4 linked regions of the Coturnix japonica genome follow. The protein of the gene in region 4 binds, or shares a complex with, the protein of the main gene of each other region. Links are inferred from orthologs where the notes say so. Each region holds a gene or a part of one and is shown on either strand. Other genes may lie near its edges.

Region 1 (5,696 bases), on a different chromosome or scaffold from region 4:
CACGTCACCGCGGGCTGCAATCGAGAATAAAGTGATAGTAACACGAGCACAGTAATACTGGAGTAAGCACAAATTCACAGGTAGCTCCTGTCCTGTAGCTGTTTTTTGCCCCCACTTTAAATTTGCTGGGTACTCGAGGAAGGGGGAAGCTCTTGCTTTTATGCAAGACCGCATTACTGGTGCTGCAGAACCAACCACAGAGTAAGGGAAATGCAGATAGAAGCATTGGGGTTGGCTGGAGTAAGACAGTTCACAGCACGACTAACAAAAGGATTACACAGCTTTTTGTTAATTAAAATTATTTTGACAGTATACCCTATGAGGAAGTCTGGATCTGGTTATTTGTCAGGCTTTACCCGTGTTTCCTCAACAAAGAGAGATAACTTCCCGTTAACAGTTTCACACAGGTTGTTTTCAGTTGATGCTGATTACTGAACGTCCCTCTGCTCCCACACTGTGTTCCCATACACTACACGCTCTCCTGCTCTCTGCAACCTGGATCCAAGCTGTGTCCCAGTTGTGCTTTTCCAGGTTTGTCCTGCAGTGTATTCCCATTACTTCCATCAAGCAATGCAGGTTGGGGTTGAGTGTGAGGGATGGGTGCCACATGGCATTGCTTCTCCCCCCTGGGAAGCCTGGTGCTGCTGAGTTCCTCCTGGGTTTTCTTTCAGAGATGAAACTCATCACTTTGGTCTTGTTGCACTTGGGTAGGTGCAGTCACAGCTATGTATACACACTGGGAGAAGAGCTCAGTGAAAGCAGCCCTGCAGGGAAGTATCTGGGGGTCCTGGGAGATGAAAAGCTGGATGTGAACCAGCACTGTTCCTGCAGTCCAGATGGCCAACAGTATCTTGGGCTGCATCAGAAGAGGGGTGGCCAGCAGGGACAGGGAGGGGATGTGGCCTTCCAGTACTTAAAGAGAGCTTATAAAAGGAAGAGGTCTGACTTTTCACACACTCCGATAGCAATAGCAGAAGGGAAGGTTTAGATTAGATTTCAGGAGGAAACTCTTCACTCAAAGGGCAGTGAGGTGCTGGCACAGCTGCCCACAGAAGCTGTGGTGCCCCATCCCCGGAGGTGCTCAAGGCCAGGTTGGATGGGGCCCTGGGCAGCTGAGCTGCTGGGGGGCAGCCCTGCCCATGGCACGGGGTGGCACTGGGTGGGCTGTGAGGTCCCTTCTAGGGTACCGCCAATCGAGGGCTCCTCCTGCATCTTCCTAGCACGAGGATACCGCTCAAGAGCCCTCACACCCCACCCTCCCGCCGTGGCCTCGCTCGTCCTCCCCTGAGCGGCGGTGGCGGATCGAGGGGCGGTCCCGGCGGCGGCCCGAGGCGGGGCCCTGCGCCGTGTGCGCGCTGCGAGCCCGCGCTACCGCCGCCTGCGCTGCCCGCGGCCGAGCTGAGGCGCGCGGTGGCCGGAGCCGTCCGCGGAGCAGCCGGAGCCGCCGGCGAAGCGGGGGCAGCCGCCGCCCGGCCGGTGAGGGGGGCGAGGGGCGGAGGCGCGATGCCGGAGGATGGAGCCCGGCGGGGAGGCGGCGGCTTTGTGAGGAGCGTCCCGCTGCCCGCCGGAGGAGGCCGGGAGGGGCGGCGCAGGGCCCCGCGGGTGCCCCGGAGCCGGGCGGCGCTGCCGGGGCGCTCCTGACAGCGGGGCCGGGGCCGGGCGGCCGCCGCGTGCTGCCCTGTGGGGCCAAGGGCTGCACCTGAGGCCGGGGGGCGCCGGCGGCGGCGGGGTGTGGGGCCGCGGCTCCGGGCGCTGCGCGGCGGCCGCCCCGTCCCGTCTGGCTTTCCCTCCTGTGAGAACAATGCGGGCTCGCCGCGAGCCGTGCAACAACGGGCGCTGCGTGCCGGGCTGATGGGGCACGAGAGAGCGGTGGACGGGGCTGCGCCGTGCCTTCCAGGTTAGGGCTTCGCTGCTGCGTTTTATTTGTCGCCGCTCATAAGCCGTCAGAGCTGATGTTACAAACCTGACCTCGTTCACCTGAAGCTCAGTGCAGTTCTAACGTAGTGCAGCAGCAGAAAGCTTCAGTCGGAGCGGTTTGCCGGTAGAGAAGCAGCGGGTGGGTTTGTTGTGGTGCCTCTTTAATGTTTGACTTCTTTTTGTTTCTCTTTTTGTTCTTTCTGGTGGTCAAAAATTGCCTCAGTGCTGGTCGAGCTCCGTCTGCAAACCGCTGGAACGATGAAGTCTCCGTGTGCGGCACTGCGCGCATCCCTGCTGCTGCTGCTGCTGCTGCTGTGGGCCCGCTCCTCACTGGGCTGCAACAAGGCACTGTGCGCCAGCGACGTCAGCAAGTGCCTCATCCAGGTATAGCGACAGCACTGCCTCTGCTTACCTTTAGTTTGGAAGCTGTTTGGAAGCCCACCCGGTCCTACCCCATGCTGTGGGGCAGGGCTGCCCCCCAGCAGCTCAGCTGCCCGGGGCCCCATCCAACCTGGCCTTGAGCAGCTCCTTGCATGGCACTCCCCGTGACAGAAGGTTGTAAAGCTGAAAATGGCTGGAAACCCTCTGAGAGGACAAACACTGGTGTAGCTCCAACATGCCTCACAACCCTGAAGTACCTCGGGCTACTAATGGGGGTGAGCAAGCTCCCAAAGTGTGTGAGTTCACTTAAAATGGGCTCTTGAGTTGCGCTTGTGGGCAGTGGATGTCCAGCTTGAGCCCAGCTGCTGCTTTTGGCTCACTGTGTGCTGTCCATAGGGCTGAAGGAATGGCTGAGCCCCAGCTGCTCTTCCAGCAGCGGTTGGGAGCAGAGTGAGAGGTTCTTTTAGAGGAGCTGTGAGCAGATCCACTGCCTACTGGCCAGGAATTGATGGGCAATGAACTGTGCACGCTTTCTGACACTGGAAGAAAAGGAGACTTCCTGTGGTCAGTTCCAGCTTCCTGCTGCCTCTATGCAGGTTGGAAATGGAAAAGCAGAGAGCGCAAATATCAAATGCCAGTAAATATCCTTCCGACTTCTGCACTGCCATTGCTTTAAATGGAAAAAATAATTGAAAACAGTGCTGCTTCTCAGCCATTGTCTACAGAGTTGTTAAATGAGGGAGACAGGCTTTTGACTTATGTACCCAGTGACTACGGCACTGTTTTTCAGTGATAGTGCTGTGTTTTGCTTAAGCATTGGTATCTCCTTAGCAGCACAGCCCTAGGGGTGTGCTCTCTTACTTTGTATCGGTGATGTGGGACCCATTCTTAAAGCATTTCTCCAAAATCAAGGACCGCACATTGCTCTTTGAGACACTACAGTGTTGGGGTTGTGTGTGGTCACAGGTCAATGAGCAACGGAGGCAGATAGGTCAGAAAGCAGGTGGGGAGACTCCTGGAGCTCTGACCAAGCTGTTGCTATCTCTCATCTCGGCTTTTTCATTCTTTATTCTTAAATCTTCAAGTGTTGTTGCAGCAGAAGCATTGCGCTGCTCTCTGAAGTATGTCATACTTCTTGGGTGGGTGTGTACTACGGTATATCTGAGTGTTCCTGTTTCCCTCTAAACCCTAAAAGTACTAAAAAGTACTTTGCTAACAGTGAGTTTGCTGGACTATCCCATCATGCAGTTCCCTATTCTGTTTCTATCATCTCTCTAGTTTGGCTCGCTACATGGCTTGAAGCCAAATCAGTGTGGCTCTGAGGTTACTGGGGTGCAGGCAAGACGTGGTGTTGGCCATCTGGATCTGTGGGAGCAGTGGGGCTCTCAAAAACCATATGGTTAACACAAATATTTGTGCCAGCCTCAGTACAGTCATTACTGCCACTCCTTAGGAGCTGCTCAGCTCAAGGGTGGTCCTTGCATAAATATTATTTCTTTAATCCAGGACAGAGCGTGAGACCAACAACTTGTACGCGTTCAGCTTTCCTCTTAGGTCTTGATGGCTGTAGCTTTTCTGGTGCCTTTGTGTTGGGATTTTATGTTGTTTTCCATGAGCAAATAGCTTGAGGAACCTCTCCCTTTTGGCTTCACCACTGCAGAAACTTGGTGTATTCTGCACTTTTGGAGGAGCTGTGGGTGAGACCCAGGAGCAGAGAGGGGCCACAAGCTCAGCTCCCTTCCTGGCTTTGGGCACAGCTCATCCTTGAGTCCCAGCGGCGCTGTTGTCCCACTCCTTGGGCAGGCTGCTGGCCTTAGTGGTGCCTGGCACCCCTCCTCCTCCAGCATTTCTTCTGCTTCGGGGTTCCCATGCACAGAGATGAGAACACTGAGTGGGCACACCGTGACTTACATCATTTATGCCACTGTCGGTGATGCCTGCTGCAGGTTTATCTTCCCCTCTTGTTAATGTTGGGCATGAGCTTCCCACCTTGCAAGTATTTCCAAGACATTCTTTTGCCCTGTGATATGAAATAGCTCTCACATTTTAACTTCGAGGCTTGCGTATCCAATTCTACCAAAGTGTGTTTTGTAGCTGTAGAACGTAACGCGGTCGGGTTAGCAAAATAATCCCGTCTGGTTTGCTTCCAGGAGATTTTCTGTTATTAAACTGTTCTAGGAAAAAAACACGAGCTATTTTCTTTCATTCCCTCCTCCAGTTTGCAGAGAGGTTGCCAATGCCTCCAGGTCCTGTTTCTCGCCACGCTGAGAAAACAGTCTCCGTCACTTCAAGAAAGTTTGGAAAAAAAAATGCAGATGTTAAATACCTTGTAAAAGGCTTTATTTGCTCTGTGGAGCAGAAATACCTTTATTGTACAAACATGCCTGCTTCCTGCTTTCATGCTGTATTTTTAGACGAGGGAGGCTCGCTTCTTGCCTAGCAGAATACTGGTGCACCTTCAGTAGTTCAGCCTGGGCAGCTGCCAGGCTCACTTATGAGTAATATTTTCTTCCACTGACGCCTCGCCACCCCCAGCCATCAACAGGGAGCGTTTCTCTTTCTGCTTCACTTCACCCACGTCCCATGGAAGCATTCTTTTAAGGAGATGTATCCTGTACAAGTGTCCGGTCCGGGTGAGTCAGTAGGAGGAACTTGAGTGTGGTTAAGGAAACAGTGGACATGCAAACGCATGGATGGAAAAACATACGATTACTGCCCTGCAGGGACAGCCCTGGGGAGGAGGGGTTGAAGAGCTGTGCATAAGACCAACCACTTGCTCTTTCTTCTCCTTTCTTCCTCCAAGTTTTTTCTTTTTTCTTTTTTTTTTAGGAAAATAGATGTTCCTAACCCTTATCTGTAAAAATAAACTTGTTAAAGTACCAGTAGGTATAGCGATGTGATCCCTAGGTAATCCTTGTGCATATAGACACTAAGAATACAGACATGCACTTGCTCAGAGGGCAGTGAGGCGCTGTCACAGCTGCCCATGGAAGCTGTGGTGCCCCATCCCTGGAGGTGCTCAAGGCCAGGCTGGATGGGGCCCTGGGCAACTGAGCTGCTGGGGGACAGCCCTGCCCCACGGCACAGGGTGGGACTGGGTGGGCTCTGAGGTCCCTTCCAACCTAACCCATTCTATGACAATATTTTTGTATTGCAAGTGTGGAAGTTAAGACTACTTTTAATTCCGTGAGAATACTCCTAAACAGCATAATACAAGCTATGAAATTGCAATAACTCGAATTCAGTGAATTTTCTGGCTTTGATTCACACGTTGCATTTAATATTTTATGGAGAGTCGCCTCCTCCCACATACTGGCTCGCTGGCGTTGCAATGTCTTTAATAGGTGTGAAGTTGTCTGCCCAGTTTTACTATTGAAGAGCAAACATGTAGGGTATGT
Region 2 (4,426 bases), on a different chromosome or scaffold from region 4:
GACTTCTGTCTTTTACAACTGTTATGGAGGGGTAAGGCTAAGGAGGTTAGAGGTTTAGTCAAGCTATCTGTAATAGAGCTGTTTATGGCAGGAAACAAAACCTGTTGTATAGAAGTAAGCAGGCCAAGTGAAATCAAAACATGAGCTTGTTATAAAGTAGTTTTTAAGAAAAGTTACACTTTTCTACTACTTTTTACTAGTTTGCAAATATCTTCTAGTATATCTTGGAGTACTCTCAGTCTTGTCCGGGATGAAAGTAATCAAAGTATCTCTTAGTTTTGCTTTGGTCCTCCACCAGCATGTTCCCTAACAGCAGCAGACTGAAGTGTCACATCCACATGCTCCTGGATCCAGGACTCGTTCTTTTCCCAAGTCATGTATCTCCCCTCAGCGCTTGTTGTATTGGTGGCTGGCACAAACACATCACTGCCTTCATGGCAGTCTTACACCACTAATCCTGGCAGTGCAGCCAGGAAGCAATGAGGACTCTGTTTGGGGTCATGCAGTCACTGTGAAAGAGGCAATGAGAATATTGTGTGTGAAGGAAGCCTAGTCCTTGTGGTCGTTTCTGTGCTTTCACACAGTTCAGTCCAGTTCTGCTGTAGTGGCTAGCAGTGCGGGAATTACTTGGCATGCTCATCTGTGACTGCAGGATGCATTCCAAAGTGTTAAGAAACCATCAGGCAGGAGGCAGTTGTGATGCTTAATTAAATACACAGCTTTTTCCTTTCCTGACCTTGTTGCAGTTGCCACATGCTAATAGTCCTGCTTCCAGGCCAAGTTAAGAACAAATTTAACAATTGCCACCTGGGAAAATATTGCTTTAAGCATGTGAACAGGCTGTTTTCTGCTTGGGTATGAATGAGGAAAAAGATCAGGGTATGAACTAGAGGGTAGTCAGTACCAAATAATCTTGGGTGCAAAATGAAAAAGGGATTCCAATTACTCCTTTTTTTTTTTTTTTTTCTTTTTTCTTTTTTTTTACCCCTATAATCACTAACTTTTCTTTATTCTTTTTCTCTCTTTTCCAGATAACTATTATCTTTAAATCATACCAACACTGCACAGATCAGAAAGTATATCAAGCAGTGTCTGATGACTTGCCTGCAGCTTTTGTTGATGGTACAACAGGTGGAGGTGATGGGAACACCAAGAGCTTGCAGATTGTGGATAAAGTCAGCGGCAAATACGTCGAAATGCATGCCAGATACATCGGGACAACAGTGTATATACGTCAGCTCGGGCACTACTTAACACTGGCCATTCGCATGCCTCAAGAATTGGCCATGGCCTATGAGGAGAGTCAAGATCTGCAGCTGTGTGTGAACGGCTGCCCTTCAAGTGAGCGCATTGATGACAGTGGCCACTTGCCATTGCCTGTGAGAGGACAGGTTCTCCCTCAGGCAGGCGCTGCTCGTCCGTGGTCAGCATACACACTGGAAACTGCCACCGCCAAATGCCATGAGAAGATGCTGGTGAAGGACATCTATTTTTACTCATGTGTGTTTGACCTCCTCACCACTGGCGATGCTAACTTCACGGCTGCCGCTCACAGTGCCTTGCAGGATGTGGAGGCACTGCACCCCAGAAAAGAGCGCTGGCATATCTTTCCCAGCAGTGGAGATGGTGGTGTTGGCAAAGGTAGCAAATCCTTTGTCAGTGTTGGACTTGCGTGCTTGATCCTTGTTGCATTTTTTTAGGGTTTTTGTTTTGTTTTTGTCTCTAACAAAGTTTTGAAATATATATTGTCATAATATATTGAGTAAAGATGAGTATATATGTATATACCATGTATATGAAGGGATGTTTTGTCTTGGGACGTCCACCAGATTGTACATATTGTGTTAACTGTTCTATGTATGTTGGATGTCGTATTCTTTGTATCTGTTTGTTTTACAGTCAGTGAAATGTTTTATAATGTCCTTGCATTGGGACCTGATAGAAAGCACTTTATTTTTTATATATTAAATATTTGTGTGTAGCTGAGTAACTGTGTATTATACATATAAACATGTACCTACAGTACTCTGCCTAGGTACTGCTTAGTTAAACAAATTTTTTTACTGTATTAATTAATGGGGATATTTTCTACGCTTACTGTAGAGACAGCACTTCTCTTGTCCTGTAATTATGTATGTAATTTCCTGGTAGCTTTTTAGAGCCGTGGGAGAGACTATGCTGAAAGATTCTAATGGTCTTTGTGTTAGGGTGTAAGATTTCCTTTTCAAAGTTACTACCACAGCTGATTCTGCTCTGAAAGGTTAACTCATTATGGGAGATGGTCATGGAGAAGTCACATGCCTGAATTCTGTCTCCTTTCGTAGGTGTTAATTACATCAACACGTTAAAATAAGGGAGAGGAGTGAGGGCCCCAGTTCTGACTGCGGTTACTGAGGAGCTATAGGAACAATGATTCTGTGGCTTAAAGGCTGGTATTATGTGATGCCTCAGTCTGCTCCAAGAAACGGAAGCCTTATTGTGTGCTGCAGTACTCCAACTCCAGGACAGGCTTGTTTCACTCCTGAAGCTGTTCATCTGAGGCTAGTTAAACTTGCTCTTTGAACAAGATCAATTAGTGTTTGCCTTTCTTAAAGAACTTGTACTGTTGTTTGCCTTAGTGGATTGAGATGTAGTTTATTCAAGGAACAAGAACTTGGAGTTTTTATGAAGTTTGTTCTGTCCGGGTTAGAGACTGTTTGCTCATAGGAGCAGCAGTAATCTTCAGAAGGAAACTTACCAATTCCGTATTGGATGTGTAACCACAGGCAGGTGTTGTTCTCAAGGAAATTCTTGAGATGAACATAGAACTGAGTTAAGGCAGAAGGTTTAAATAAAAAATTCTTCTGATCTAGACTGACCGGCAGCTTGTTCTGTCAGTCAAACTAGATGATGGTGCTGTTTGAGGTGACTTAGATTTAGGGATTTGTGCTGTGTCTGATTATGTGATTTTTCCCAAGTTTCTCCTGATGGTGACAGGGTTCTCCCTGTTCTGTGTGGCAGAGCATCCTTATCTCTGCTCTGAATTTAAAGGGCGCGTGGCTGAAAATTGATGGACAAGCCTGGCATTGCTGCAGTGATGCACAAAATACTTGGGCAGACTCTGCATTCCGTTTAATTTCCACTGCCCCTGGATCCAGCGTGTATATACATATACAACAGATATGTATACGTGCATTAAATTGTGATCCTTTCAGATAAATAACATTTCAGAAATGTAGTACTTCCCCTGAAGAGTTTTCCGTTTTCTTGTTCCTGCTGTGGGATTTCTTGAGAAAATGTTATTTGCACATGTTCATTCTTGAAGTCTGCCATTGCCAAGAGAGCTTTAGCTAATGCCAAATGTGGATATTTTGAAGCTAGTGAATGGTCTCTGGAGAAAACTTAAGCTTAGAGGGAACAGTGGTTTTTTCACACACGCTCCAAATGGCTGTCTTTTAGAAGGCTGCAGATTTTATTTTCATGCTTGGAAACCCTAAAATGTGTCAGTCTTTTCAAAAACGTTTAGATGTGGTTCATGAATATACCAGTAAGTATATGTTAGTGTAAAAGAGTGGCTGTGCAGTGTGTAAATACTTTAAATTATTATGATAGAAGAATAAAGTTAACCTACCTTGGTGAGGAGCGTCTGTAGTGTGGTGTTAGTGACCCCTGGTGGGGTGCAGGGAAACTGGGGATATGAGTTATCCACAGGGTGAGCAGTCTGTAATTGAGGCCCCAATTTGTTTCCTAGCCATTGCTTGTTGTGTAGGAACGTGCTGAGGACCACTGCTGTATTATCTTGAGATGCTTGTTTCCCCTCTGCTAAAGATGCATAGTGAAGTCTGTGGCCAGCAGCTGCAAACCAGGCCAGTATATTGAGGATGCTGTGTGTGGGTAACCCAACAGTAGGAACTACCTTTTCAGAACCCCACTGGCACAATTCCTTTTGCAGTGACTGGGGGAGATGCTTAGAAGAACTTTAGCAGGTTACAGAGGCCCCGGTGCTGTGCCCACCCTGAAGAGTATAATGATGAAAATCCTTCTTTAAAGTTATTGGGAAATTCTTAGACCAGAATAACCTCCATAGAGGAACTTGAGGCATCGAAAGAACAAGTGGTACAGAAGAATCCATACAATAACATTTTGTATCATGATGATAAGGATACATGATAGCTGTGATATTCAACTGGAATGGTAATCACAGTGTGGAAAGGAAAACTGGAAACAAGGCTCAAAAGTTATATCAAACAGTGAGAGTGGTAGGCCTAATAAACACGATTGATTGTTATTTTGTGAGGCTTCTGTTATGGCTAGAAGTATAGATGTGGGGGAACAGTCTTACGTGGTAGATAATGCATCACTGAAATGCTTTGTGGAAACAAATGGCTGTAGGAAGCAACATGAGCTCTAAATGTGCTTATGTTAAGTGCCCATGAAAGAAGGCTGT
Region 3 (5,555 bases), on a different chromosome or scaffold from region 4:
ACAGCTTTGGTTCTGCTTGGGAGCACACACATGCATGTTGCATTCTTCTTCCATATTGAGCGTCTATTCTGCTGCTATAATCTGATAATAGGCAGAGTGGAGGAACAGCAGACTCATATTTTCCTTTGAAATGATAAACATAAGCATACAAGTTCTGTATTGCTTGGCACGAGCGCTGTGATTTTGTCTTTCTTGGCTGTCTTTGTTTTGGACACTGACATTTTTTTTTCTGGCTCATCGGAAAAAATTTTCTACAAGTCTAGTAATGCAAGAATTGCATTTTTAATGCCTTTCTCTAGTATCTGGCCACCTACACTTACTAGGTGTGCCTTTAATTGCTTGTGTTTTAAAAGAGTCTGCAAAGCAGATAGGTTTGAATGTACTTCCTCTTTTGTTTTACTATACGGGATAGAATGCAAGCTAAGCAGTTGCCTAACAATCCACGTGTACAACACATGTGAACTATATTACAAAGCCAATGTGCTCATCTTACACACAAATGGGACAACATAAACTCTATATGACACTAGCAGACAAAAATGGAGCTGGACTGTGTAGAGGTCAGCACAACGAGCAAAGCAGGGTTTCCCACATCATACACACATGTGGCTAAGTGAGATTCCTTCCCAATTGGTTACTATCCAAAAACAGCTTATCTGGGCAGGCAAATGGCCTAAAGGGTGTCTTGGTCAATAGCAGAGGGAAAGCGAGCAGGTTAGTGTGGTCTTTGTTTCCCCCTATAGTTGGCCCCGTGTACAAAATTCTTGGCACAGAACTGTGTAATGGGACCATGTCAACATGAGAGTCTGTTGAGTGCAAGGTTCAGCCCATGCAAGCTGCTCATCCCATGGCACAGTGTTATGAAGCTCCTTCTGCACCACTGTTGGGAGACAGACAGACAAATTGGTACTTGGGTAATGTGTCCTAATGACGACGAGCTCAGAAATGCAATGCAAATCATAGCCTTCAGCAGCCTTATCAGCAAGCAGAGAAGCTCAGTGCAGAAGGTATGATGTATTCCAATCTAACCAGCCAGCTTCGTTTATTTAAAGAAACAGGAAATGGAAAAAAGCAAAACGAACAACTCCGTTCACCATAATGCCACTCTTATCTCTCCTACGGCACTGGGATGCCAAGCTTTCCAAGGATCAGCGTGAGCAGTGATCCACGGGCAGCTCCCATCGTTACCCTATGCCCCCCAAACAAAGGAGCTGCGATATCCCCACCTCCGCAGCGCACCCGGCCGCGCTGCCCCTCGCACCTCTCTGTCTCCTCCTACAGGAGCTGCCGCGCCTTTGCACCGGCAAAGCTCTGCTCGACGGCCCTTCGGCCGGCGGTGCACGGAGCCCCATGCGGCATCTCCACCCAGGAGAAGAGCTCCTGGGGAGGAAGAGCGGCCGGCTTTTTCTCGGTGTGCCCCGGCAGCCCTCCCGCCCAGCGCACGTGTCAATAGAAGCGGCAGCGCTCCTAGGAGCGGTCTCACGCCTCTCCCCGGCAGCCGATGGAGCTGCTGCTGCTTCGCGCTCGTCCCCATTCTCCCCCTCCTTCCTCCGTGCGCGCGGCCGGGCTCCACGGGTGCCGTGATTGGAATCCGGCTCCGTCCCGCCCCGCCCGCCCTCCAGCTCCGCAGGGACGCGCCGGGCGTCGGGAGCGCTGCCGGGGAGCGAGCCTGCGCCGCCCCGCCCCGCCCCGCCCCGCCCCGCCCTCCCCCTCCCGGCTCTCGGCCGCCTTCGCTCCCGTCTTACAGGAGCCGTCGGGGTTCCGGGCGCGGCCTGCGTAACGCAGCGGGAGCGGCTCCGTGTTGCTTCGCCTTCCGTCCCGCCGCAGAGGATGAGGAGCCTCCAGGAGCGGTGAGTGCGGGGTCGTGCCGGGCGGTGTGGAGCGCCGCGCCCCGCTCCTGCGTTCCACCCCTTCTCGGCCCGCGGGGCTCCGAGCACCGGGCCCTCGTCCCGCCCCCGGCCCGCTCTCCCCGTCGGCTGCGGGCTCGGCCCTTCTGCTCCGAGCTCTCCGGCCCGGCCGCTCTCCCCGCCGAGCGCCCTCCGCGGGTCGGGCCGATGCTCGGAGACCGTCGGCGGGCGAAGCGCGGCGGCTCCCGGGGCCGGCGGCTTCCTGCGTGGGCACGGGGCCGCCTGCGGGGCCGGGCAGGCCCGGCGCACGCCGCTCTGTCTGGCCGCCTTCGCCCTCCCCCTGCGTCTGCGCCCGCGGTGTTGTAATTCCAGGCGCGGTGCCGAGCCGGCGGCTGAGCGGGGCCTGCGAGCGGCTCCGGGAGGCCGCGGGGAGCGGGGGGACGGCACTAATGCCGAGCCGTGACCCGCCGCTGCTGGGCGGTGAGGAGCCGCCTGGGCATCCCGCGGCACCGTGAGCGTCCGCCGTCCGGTTCCGGTTAAACCTGGTGACGAGATGTCCCGAAGAGGCTGAAAAACTTGAATGGCCTTTCATCAGCCTTTCATCTTCTGTACGACTAAGAGTGAATTCGGCATCAAGGAGCGGTGGGAGGCTGTAGCGCGGTCGTGTGGCCTGTTGTGATGAAGGCCGTACAATGGGGACGCTTCCAGGTGCGGAGTGGTTGTGTTTGTGAGCTGTGTTTTGTTGTGTTTTGCGTTCCTTGAGGACGGGTAACGATTTGCTGGGTTCCATACCCTGTCAGCTGCTTGGTGCCTGCCCTCTGTGCGAGTGGAGCAGCTCCTTCTATGATGGCCTGGGCTCAAACTGTTCCTTGGTTCTCAGTAGAACCTTATGTTGGAGTAAGGAGCTGCATGAGACCGGTTGATATTCAGACCTGCTCTTCCAGCCTATAGTTAGTAAGACCCCCACGTTGTGGCATTGGTAGCAGCCTGAAAATATTACTTGAATACTTGTTGACAGTGTGTATCCTTTGTGTCTTTACTTTGGTTACTTTCGTATAGATCTTTCAACACTTGCGGTTTGTTGTGTTAGGGTCTGTGTGGTTTGTATTTCTGTATGGACACATGCATGCCCTGCAGGCTCTGAGTGTGGAGCTCTGTCAGAGATATTAATGCATAGTTGCAATCTTCAGTTGCCAGTTCTCTGTATATGCCTTTGGTCTCTCTGTTTGGAGACAGTGAATTCATGTGGGCTGACTGGAATCCTTCTCTTTAAAATGAGAAAGATATGGTTTGGAAGGGACCTCTGGATGTCACTGGGTCCAGCCCCTGCCCAAAGCAAGGGGGTTCAGCTAACTTCCTTTAGAAAGGACATGTGCTTCCCATAGATGAAAGTTACTGTGATCTGAGTTGTCACAAAGCATTGGGCTGCAAAGAAAAAAGCACGCTGAAGAAACAATAAATAGCTTTGTCTACTTCCTGGAGTCCTGAAAAGCAAGCAGTAGGTGGGTGGCTTAGGGTTGTATTTATTTTCTGCCTTGGTTTAAAGGTAGGAATGACAACAGGGTTGTATTTGTTCTCCAAGAAGCAAATGGGACATAATGTGACTACCAAATGATACTTGTGGATGGCAACTTCCGTAGTGAGGATGGTATCTCCTTGTAGTGCAGCTAAATGTCTGACACATGGAGCTTCTGAAGCTCTGCTAAGCATAGATGGGTAAACAGACAAGATGGCATGTTCTACAGATGCAAGTGTTCCTCCCTTGCTTTTGTCAGGCATCGGATCTTTCTGTCTGTGTGAGGTTTTTGGTTCCTCGTTTGAGGGGGGGGGGGGGGGGGGGGGGGGACAGAGAACGTCTTCAGTGCCTGGGTTTTGCTTCACATACCTTAATATTTTCTGTAAATAAATCACGTAAGTCACTTCAGAGCTGTTATATGTAGGTACTGATGGAGTGCTTAGACACGTTAATGTTCCTCAAATGTGTGTGGGGGTGGGGGGCAGTGTGTGTACTTGATTTTTGACGGCTGCCTTGCCTGTAGCAGCTGATGATTTAGTGCCTTTTCTTCCCTGAACGAGAGCTGCAAAAATCTTTTGCAGTTGCTCTACCAAACCCTCGCTGATTATTCCTAGTCATGGTGATGTCATGGAGTCTCTGTGCTTTCTGAAACATTCGGTGCTTTAAAGGGAAAGCAAGGAATTTCTGTCTCTCTTTCCTGTCGTCACTTAAAAGTCGCAGTGAAGTCTGTAGAGCAGTTGATTTTTCTCAGAAATAGTCATTTTATCTACCCCCCCCCCGAGTTATTCTTTTAACTCAGTATAGCTCTTGTGTGAGGGATTCGGTCCAAAAACACACCGAGTACTTTGTGCTCTAGGCGTATGTTTTGTGCTTCCCTCAACAAAACAAAGCAATTTTTCTCCTGCTCTTTAATATCAAGGATTTCATTTTCCTCTAGGGAGGGTGAATGTTAGGTTCCCTTTGTTTTCCTATGAGGCTGTGTCCTTGCTGAGAGAGTAAGCTGCAGCCTCTTGCTGGTCTGACCACTGTGTGAGATGGAGCACTCCAGAACTGCATGGGAATCGCAGCAGTGAGAGGACACTGAAGTTTACTGTAGTCAGTTGACAACTGGAGTATTTTGTATCAGTGTTTTTAGTGTAACATGAGGCTCGAGTTCTTCATTTGTGCTACATCAGAGATGAGATGCATGAGTTTCTGGTTGTGACGCTGTTGTCAACTCTACACAGATGCTGTAGGCAGTGCGATCATTCTCTTTCATATCTATAAAGCAGCAGCTCTAGTCTTTGCCATTTTCCTAGTGGATTTCTTATAGTCATCCTTCTGTTTCTTTTGAGTTCCATGCATTTCACTCTGCTGTACTGTTTCAGAATGAATTGGTAAGTATGATCAATATAGTTATTAAAGCAGTCAAGTGAATTCTAGCTCATGATTGTGCACAGGTTGTGTGAATTCAGACCTGCTTTGTGGAAGCTCCTTCCTTTTCACTGTTGCAGCTGTTGAAATCTCCTAAACTTGCTTTTCTTGCAGCCTCGTCTTAACAGTGTTAATTATTAACGACTTTTTCTCAAGTTGGGGGGCGGGGGGAGGAGCTGTTCATGTGCATTTACACTTCCTTTGTAAGAGCCTGATGCCAGACTATACTGGAAATCAGTGGGTAGAGTCCGAGTTCTGTGGCCCAAAATCATGCAAGACTTTGCTGCTACAAAGAATTAACATTCTGCTCACAAAAGATTTGATGCACATCTTAGTGCATTTCATGCTAAGAGAGAATTCCTTGGATATAGAATCAGTGATAAGGATGATGGAGGATGCAGCCTGGCTTCTACGTTCAGATATCATTTTCTAGTCCATTTGTTGGTGTTTTCTTCCCTATTTGTTCAGTTGAAAGTTCAGTCTATAGTGCTGATGCAGAGACACAGGCACCATGCCCCATAGTGTTGTGCAGCCATCTTCAGACTCAACACCCAAGACATGGACTATCCTCAATTCAGATCGGTGAATGAATTTCAGTTTGTTAGTGATACTGATCATTGAGTAGAAATGTCCCTGAAGGAAGGGATTAAAAACAAACAAAAACCTTCAAAGCAATTTGAATAAAACTGGTTTCTCGTGTCTCTTCTTGGAGAGAAACCAAGAAATTAAGCTCACAGAATTTAAGAAAAGAAAAACTTCTTTGTTTTTATATGTTGACA
Region 4 (5,796 bases):
GACAATTAAGATGCAAACAGCAAAACAAAAGGGAGGGGAAAGCTCTTGTATGTTGAGAATGGCTCAGCCGGAGGGACTCAGGGCAGCCAGGTCAGTGCACAGCTGATGGCTGGGACATACAGCAGCGCTTCGGGAGTACTAAAGTAAGTGGAAAATCAGCTGGCAGAGCCTGAACGGTAACGGGCGGGATTCTGCCGGGGCCTGCAGAAGGAAACGTGTCTTTGCCATCTCTGCTATTGCCGCCTGTGCTCCAGCACCTCACACGTCAAACCACGCAGCCGGTAACTCAGCCACACTCCGGTCTCTGAGCGCCCGAGCAGCTCCTCATTTACAGAAAGGCCGCACCGCCTCCTGCGCTCCAACGGCACAACTGCTGCCGCTTCGTCCCCGAACCGAACCTTCCAAAGGGCAGAAAGTTCCGCAGCCCCCATGACCGCCGTTATTTCCCCTCGATTCACTCAGGCCCCGCGCTGCCCGCACAGCTCCCCCCTTCCGGCCGCGCCCAGACGGGACGGGCCTGGTCGGGCGGCTCCCGAGGCCTGTGCTCCGTGCTCCGGGCACCGCGTTGTGCCGCGCCTTGTCCCGCCCTCCCCTCACCTTCTCCTGTAGCTCCCGCACCGACACCGCCGGCTCCTGCCGCGCCTGCCCCGCTCCGTGCCGCCGCCAGGCCTGGCCCCGCGCCGCCTCCCTGGCCGCCATGCCCCGCTCTCGGCCCCGCCCCGCCCGCTGAGCCCCGCGGCGATAGGACGGCGGGTGTGCGGCGGGAAGCGCGCCGTGCCCGACACAGGGGCTGCCACCGGGTACAGCGCTGTGTGTGCTGAGACTGAGTCGTGTACGGTGGAAGCTGAATGTGAGGGAGGTGAATTCAGCTATGGCGGATTAAACATCAGATGGGCAGATCCACAGGAGCGCAGAGGTCTGACAGCGCTCACATCGCAGCACCGTGTTGGTGACAGGCGGGAGCCCCAGGGGCCAAGCTCCAGGAATAGCAGTTTGGCCAGAAGAATCTGGTTGAAATCACACAGGGGACAGGAATAACGGGTGGTGCCTCCTGAGAGCTGAAGGAGACCTGGGGCTTTGCTCAGAGCAGCTCACAGTAGCTCTGTCCCCATTGGCCCACCAGGGAAGTTCCCGCAGAGCTGCTCAGCATCTCCAGCTTCACACTCCTCCTGCTCCCATGTCCTGGTTGTGAGACTGATTCACCCCAGTTTGGTTCATTCTTTTACTTGTGACTGGCAGTATCAGTTGGTGTTCAATAAAAATGGAAAGTTACATTCATCTCAGATGTGTAAATACTGGGTGAGCATTTGACCAATTGTGCTGTTAGTCTGATTTACCATGAGACAAGGCCTATGGAGTCACACTGTCTCACCTTCTGCCCTTTCCTGTCCATCTGCCCAATCGTTTCTGTATCTGTGAATCTCAACCATGTTTGATGGAACAGGAGAGATCTTAAAGATACAGAACTCTTACCGGTGTTGTGAAAACTGGAGTACCCCAAAAGTGACGCCTCCTAGATAGGTTTCCATGCAAACCACAACAGATACAACACATACAGTAACACTGACAGAGCCAAACAGAGTGTTTGGGTGCTGGCTTTTCTACATGGAGGAATGTGATTCCATCCCTTTGCTCCATGTGCGACTCCATGTCAGATGCCATCCTATCAGGCTCTCCCTCTGCTGCCATCTGCCATATAACAGCAGAAAGGAACAGCGTGTGGGTGGGAAGGTTCAGTTTCTACTGCCATTCCTCCAACACCTGCCTCTGTCATCATGGGCCAACAGCATACAGTAGGAGGCATCACTTTCAGAGCATCCCTCATAGAATAAGAGCATGAACTCAGCACTTGGCTGTTTCTGTGGGCAGAACCAACACAGCACACCTGTCTGCCTGCAGGAAGGTGGATAATGAGGGTGGGAGGAAGGGACAGCATGGCTGAGGGTTATGGGGACAGCACGAAGGAACTGTTGGGGAAGGGGCCTGTTGGAAGTAACTCGTGGAAAAGCTGCTTTGTTTTGATGGGAAACATCAAACTGACTGCAGAGAAATGGCAATTAGGCCAAAATTGAGAGGGTGGGGTTTTTGTTCTCCCTCATTTGTGACATCTGTGCGGTCACTAAGCTGTTCTGCCCTTTGGTTCCTCCACTGGAATATGGTAAAGCATTCTAAGCGTGTCATATGGAAAGGGCTGCAGGTTGTTATTTATGAAAGTAATTTCATGTCAGAGTGGAAAATGCCGCAGCACGTCCAATTCAAGCTAAAATCGAGGCTGTTGTATCTATCCCCTTTATTCTTGCTTCAGGAATAAGTGACTGGGAGGGGAGGGCTGGGCTCAGCACAGCGCTGGATGAGAGAAGGGTCCCATTAATCCCCGTTCACTCCAGCCCAGTGCCTCATTTCCCCAAGGTTCATTCAGAACAACAACAGCTCATTTTTTTGTACTGCATGAAAGACACTCTCGCTCCGTGCTCCCCGGAGTACAGCTGACAGCAGCAGATACCCTTCCCACGTCAGCAGCTCCGGTTCCCTCCTCCCATCCTTCCCCTGTCTGTGGGCAGGGAGCTCTCCTACATTCGGGTTCACAAAAGCTCCGTCCCGGCTGCGCCCCGGCTCAGAGCAGCCCGAGCCGTGCTGCTGGCAGGAGCGGGGCCGCCTGCAGGGAGCAGTGCCTGCACAGCCTTCTCCTGCAGCTGGGTTACGCGGGTTTGTTCAAAGCGTAGCAATAAAAACACCAACATGCGATGACTGCGGGCACGGCGGTGCTGCGTTATACCAAATTCATCGCCTGCCTCGTTAGCTGAGTCGCTGGAGGGCAAAGCGAAGCCGCAGCTCCAGCAATAAGGAGCAGGACGGGGTTACGCACCGAGGCTTTCATGTGCGCGTTCCCGTGGGCCGCAGGACGGGTCCCGGCTGTCCGTCTCGCAGTTTGTCCCATTTAAACGTGAAGTTGATGGAAGGCGAAAGGAGAGGTTGTGCCGCCGCTCCAAAACGCGTCCTCTGGAGCCCTGAGCCCGCGGAGCTGTTTCACATGAGGCAGGGAATGAGTCATGCTCATGAAAAGGGCAAAGAAGATTTTTTTTTAAAGAAATATATCGCAGTTAAATTAGTTTAGACAGCATGACATCAGAGAGTAATTAAATCGGTTTGTTGGAATTCCGTTTCCAATTCCTGAGCTCAGGTTTGTAAAAGATTTCTGAGCACCTGCAGGTCTCTGTGTGTGAAATATTTTCACTGGAAAGGATTCAAAACGTTAAAAAAAAAAAAAACAGCCCTTTTAACACAGAGGCAGCATTACGCCATTCTTCCTTCTCGGAAAAAAAACCCCTCCGATTTAAACAGGACTCCTTCAACTTTTCAGTCAGTTTTACAGAAGAAAACGAGGTGGTAAACTTTCTCTTTTCAAGAACGAGCCCTTTACAGCCACGAACTGAAGTCAGGGGAGAGCGCGTCTGAGAGCAGGAGCATTTCCACTATGGGACTGGATACGAGCACTGAACAACCAGATTTGCAATGTTTTAATCTCGATCGAAAACCACTTTTGCTGACTTTGGTTTTTAATTTCTTTCATGTTTTCTTCTGCCAAACTGGAGGAACCTTCCCTGATTTTTTCTTTAGCGGCATTCAGAGGAAGACCAGAGGATGAAAATCCTGCATTTTCTCACTTTACTGCTTTGGCATTTGACTTGGCTGTCTCTGGATCTAGTTCCTGGAGCACTGAGCAATTCTGAAGCAGGCCAGAGTAATCCGGGGTCTAAAACAGATTTGTTAAAAGCAGAAGGAAAGGAGAGGACTCCCTCAGCACGGGCAGGCACGCCACGGGCTGCGAACCATGGATTTAGCACCGGGACCTCGAAGGCAAGGACTAAAAGCAATGCTGCTCAGCCTGGAGCTCTGCTGGCCAAGAACGACGAATCACAGAGGGTTCTTTCAAGAGCAGCTGCCTCAGAGGCAAAGGTAGGACATCTCCCGAGCAGACCTTCTGGAGTAAGGACGGTGACTCCAAAGGTCCCAAATCTTAGCAGCAAGACGGCTTTGAAAAAACCCAGCACGAGCAGTGCTGATAGCAGCGCTTTCAAAACGAAAAAGACTAAAGAGCCTGTCACCCAAAGGGAAGCTAAGGAAGCTTTCAGACAGCCCCCTATAACGCCACATGAATACATGCTCTCTTTGTACAGGACTCTCTCAGACGCAGAAAGAAAAGGTGTTAATGGAAGTGTAAAACTGGAGGCTGGACTTGCCAATACAATAACCAGCTTTATAGACAAAGGACAAGGTAAGAGGGGAGCTCACGTGTGTGTGGACAGAGGGACATCTGAGCACGAGCATTACTAGAACATAACTGTATGTTGTTAAAGGCAGAAAGCTCTTTCTAATGAGAATGAAATTGTAGGTTTTGTCCTTATCTTGGCAGATTCCTCTAGAGGCAGAAATAGATGGTAGCATGGCAGCCAAGCAAAACATTAGAATATTTCAGGTGCATATTTCTGAAAATCCATTAGTCCTTGAGGGTTTAGTTGTTCAGAAACTTTCACGTTTTGATCTTATGCTATTTCAGTAGGAAGATCCTGGATACTGTTGCTTGATTTTATTGCTAAGTGTGTCTGAAAACACATTCTCTGCTGAGAAAGGGGCTGTTCTGCGGAAAAACACACGTTTCAGTGTTGGAGGTCACCCCAGTTTGTCCAAGGATGAGCTGGGAGGAACTACAATGTAGACCCAGGAGTCATTATAGAGTGGCGCTGGTGTACCTGTATGAGCTTGAATCTCATGCTTTCAGACACTACCAGCCTTCTAACCACAGAAGCTCACAGCTAAACATGGGCTAATGAGTGTAAATAACTTCTGGGACTCCCTAATTTGCGGTTCAGTGTTATGGTTCCAAATTTATTGGAAATTTGGCCTAGTGTCTGCTCTCACACAACACATAACCAAAGAAAGATGTTCACCTTGCCGTCCCAGTGGGAGGCTTATCTCCATGTTGCTTCTGGTGACGTTAATGAGAGCTTTGGTCATGGAATTAAGGAAGCAACACAGGCCACAGCTAATTACATAATAGTGATTGAAGACTCAGCCAGGACTGGGTTTGTTTGCTGTTTAATCAAGAATAGTTTGGCTTTCGGGATGGGATGGCACGCAGCTGAGCAGTGCTGTGTTCAGATCCTTGACTGACCACTGGAAGGCGCTGTTATTGAAACATGGATAAAATGTTGGTTTGGGCATATTCCTCATTAGTGCCGCTCGCAGGTTTAACCAGGCAAAGACAGAGTCAGGTTAAAGGGAGGTCTGTTGTTCTGCCCAGTATGGAAAAGTTGTGAACTCTGCGGAGCAGAGTTAATGAGGCAATTATCTTTGTGTTCCTGGGGGATGCTGGTTTTAAAGGACTAATGACTATTGTATTGTCTAAGGGTAATGTTGGAGCCAGCATGAGGCCTGGGCACCACTGAATACCCATTTCAGTAACGTAAGTGGTATGTAAGTGGTGAATAGGCCCTGTGAGCCCTCAGACCTTATAAATGACGGTTTTCCAATTGGCTAAGGGCTACTTTGAAGCTAGAAAATGCCCACTGGTGAAAGAACTGACATTTCTAAAGGGCAAGCTCAGGAACTCCTTTCCCAATGAGTCACTGAATTCTTCCAGGTCCCCGCTCAGAGCCCATCCCTCAGACAAAAATTGTCCTTTCTGTTTAGTGGGCTAACTGAGGTAAATGCTGGTCTTACGGGGAAACTGCAGGAACATTGTAGAGAACTGACAAAGCAGCATTGCTCTGTGCTTCATTTAAAAATGCGTGTGCT

The links.
Region 1: the proteins of GDF5 (region 4) and TWSG1 are in contact, whole or in part, in a crystal structure (PDB 8BWL), measured with the Homo sapiens proteins. The link is inferred for Coturnix japonica from reciprocal best matches to the Homo sapiens genes GDF5 and TWSG1. Residues at the interface, in NP_000548.2 of Homo sapiens: Glu434, Phe435, Pro436, Ser439, His440, Glu442, Asn445, Val448, Ile449, Leu452, Ser455; in NP_065699.1 of Homo sapiens: Cys26, Lys28, Cys31, Ala32, Ser33, Val35, Ser36, Leu39, Ile40, Cys44, Gln45, Cys46, Arg47, Cys73, Val74.
Region 2: the proteins of GDF5 (region 4) and RGMB are in contact, whole or in part, in a crystal structure (PDB 6Z3J), measured with the Homo sapiens proteins. The link is inferred for Coturnix japonica from reciprocal best matches to the Homo sapiens genes GDF5 and RGMB. Residues at the interface, in NP_000548.2 of Homo sapiens: Leu396, Arg399, Phe435, Pro436, Leu437, Arg438, Ser439, Asn445, Val448, Ile449, Leu452, Ser455, Met456; in NP_001353437.1 of Homo sapiens: Gln57, Thr60, Phe63, Val64, Thr67, Ser68, Leu70, Asn71, Tyr88, Leu103, Val104, Ser107, Ala108, Leu110, Gly111, Ile112, Asp114, Leu115, Gln118.
Region 3: the proteins of GDF5 (region 4) and BMPR1A are in contact, whole or in part, in a crystal structure (PDB 3QB4), measured with the Homo sapiens proteins. The link is inferred for Coturnix japonica from reciprocal best matches to the Homo sapiens genes GDF5 and BMPR1A. Residues at the interface, in NP_000548.2 of Homo sapiens: Arg399, Phe435, Pro436, Leu437, Ser439, His440, Glu442, Pro443, Asn445, Val448, Ile449, Leu452, Ser455, Met456, Pro458; in NP_001393490.1 of Homo sapiens: Gly65, His66, Cys67, Pro68, Ile77, Thr78, Phe83, Ile85, Glu87, Cys100, Met101, Lys102, Glu104, Gly105, Phe108, Gln109, Asp112, Ser113, Lys115, Ala116, Gln117, Arg120, Ile122.

What each region holds. Positions count from the first base shown.
Region 1 is NC_029517.1:88,834,888-88,840,583, reverse strand, and holds the start of TWSG1 (twisted gastrulation protein homolog 1), read left to right. Parts: upstream 1-1,836; 5' UTR 1,837-1,851; coding exon 1,852-1,897; intron 1,898-2,140; coding exon 2,141-2,301; intron 2,302-5,696. UniProt on the Homo sapiens protein: May be involved in dorsoventral axis formation. Seems to antagonize BMP signaling by forming ternary complexes with CHRD and BMPs, thereby preventing BMPs from binding to their receptors.
Region 2 is NC_029547.1:45,528,373-45,532,798, reverse strand, and holds part of RGMB (RGM domain family member B), read left to right. Parts: intron 1-1,031; coding exon 1,032-1,700; 3' UTR 1,701-4,426. UniProt on the Homo sapiens protein: Member of the repulsive guidance molecule (RGM) family that contributes to the patterning of the developing nervous system. Acts as a bone morphogenetic protein (BMP) coreceptor that potentiates BMP signaling. Promotes neuronal adhesion.
Region 3 is NC_029521.1:1,763,359-1,768,913, forward strand, and holds the start of BMPR1A (bone morphogenetic protein receptor type-1A), read left to right. Parts: upstream 1-1,743; 5' UTR 1,744-1,850; intron 1,851-2,293; exon of another isoform or gene 2,294-2,555; intron 2,556-5,555. UniProt on the Homo sapiens protein: On ligand binding, forms a receptor complex consisting of two type II and two type I transmembrane serine/threonine kinases.
Region 4 is NC_029535.1:1,101,895-1,107,690, forward strand, and holds the start of GDF5 (growth/differentiation factor 5), read left to right. Parts: upstream 1-2,308; 5' UTR 2,309-3,642; coding exon 3,643-4,276; intron 4,277-5,796. Other genes in the region: centrosome-associated protein CEP250, read right to left, coding at 598-699. UniProt on the Homo sapiens protein: Growth factor involved in bone and cartilage formation. During cartilage development regulates differentiation of chondrogenic tissue through two pathways.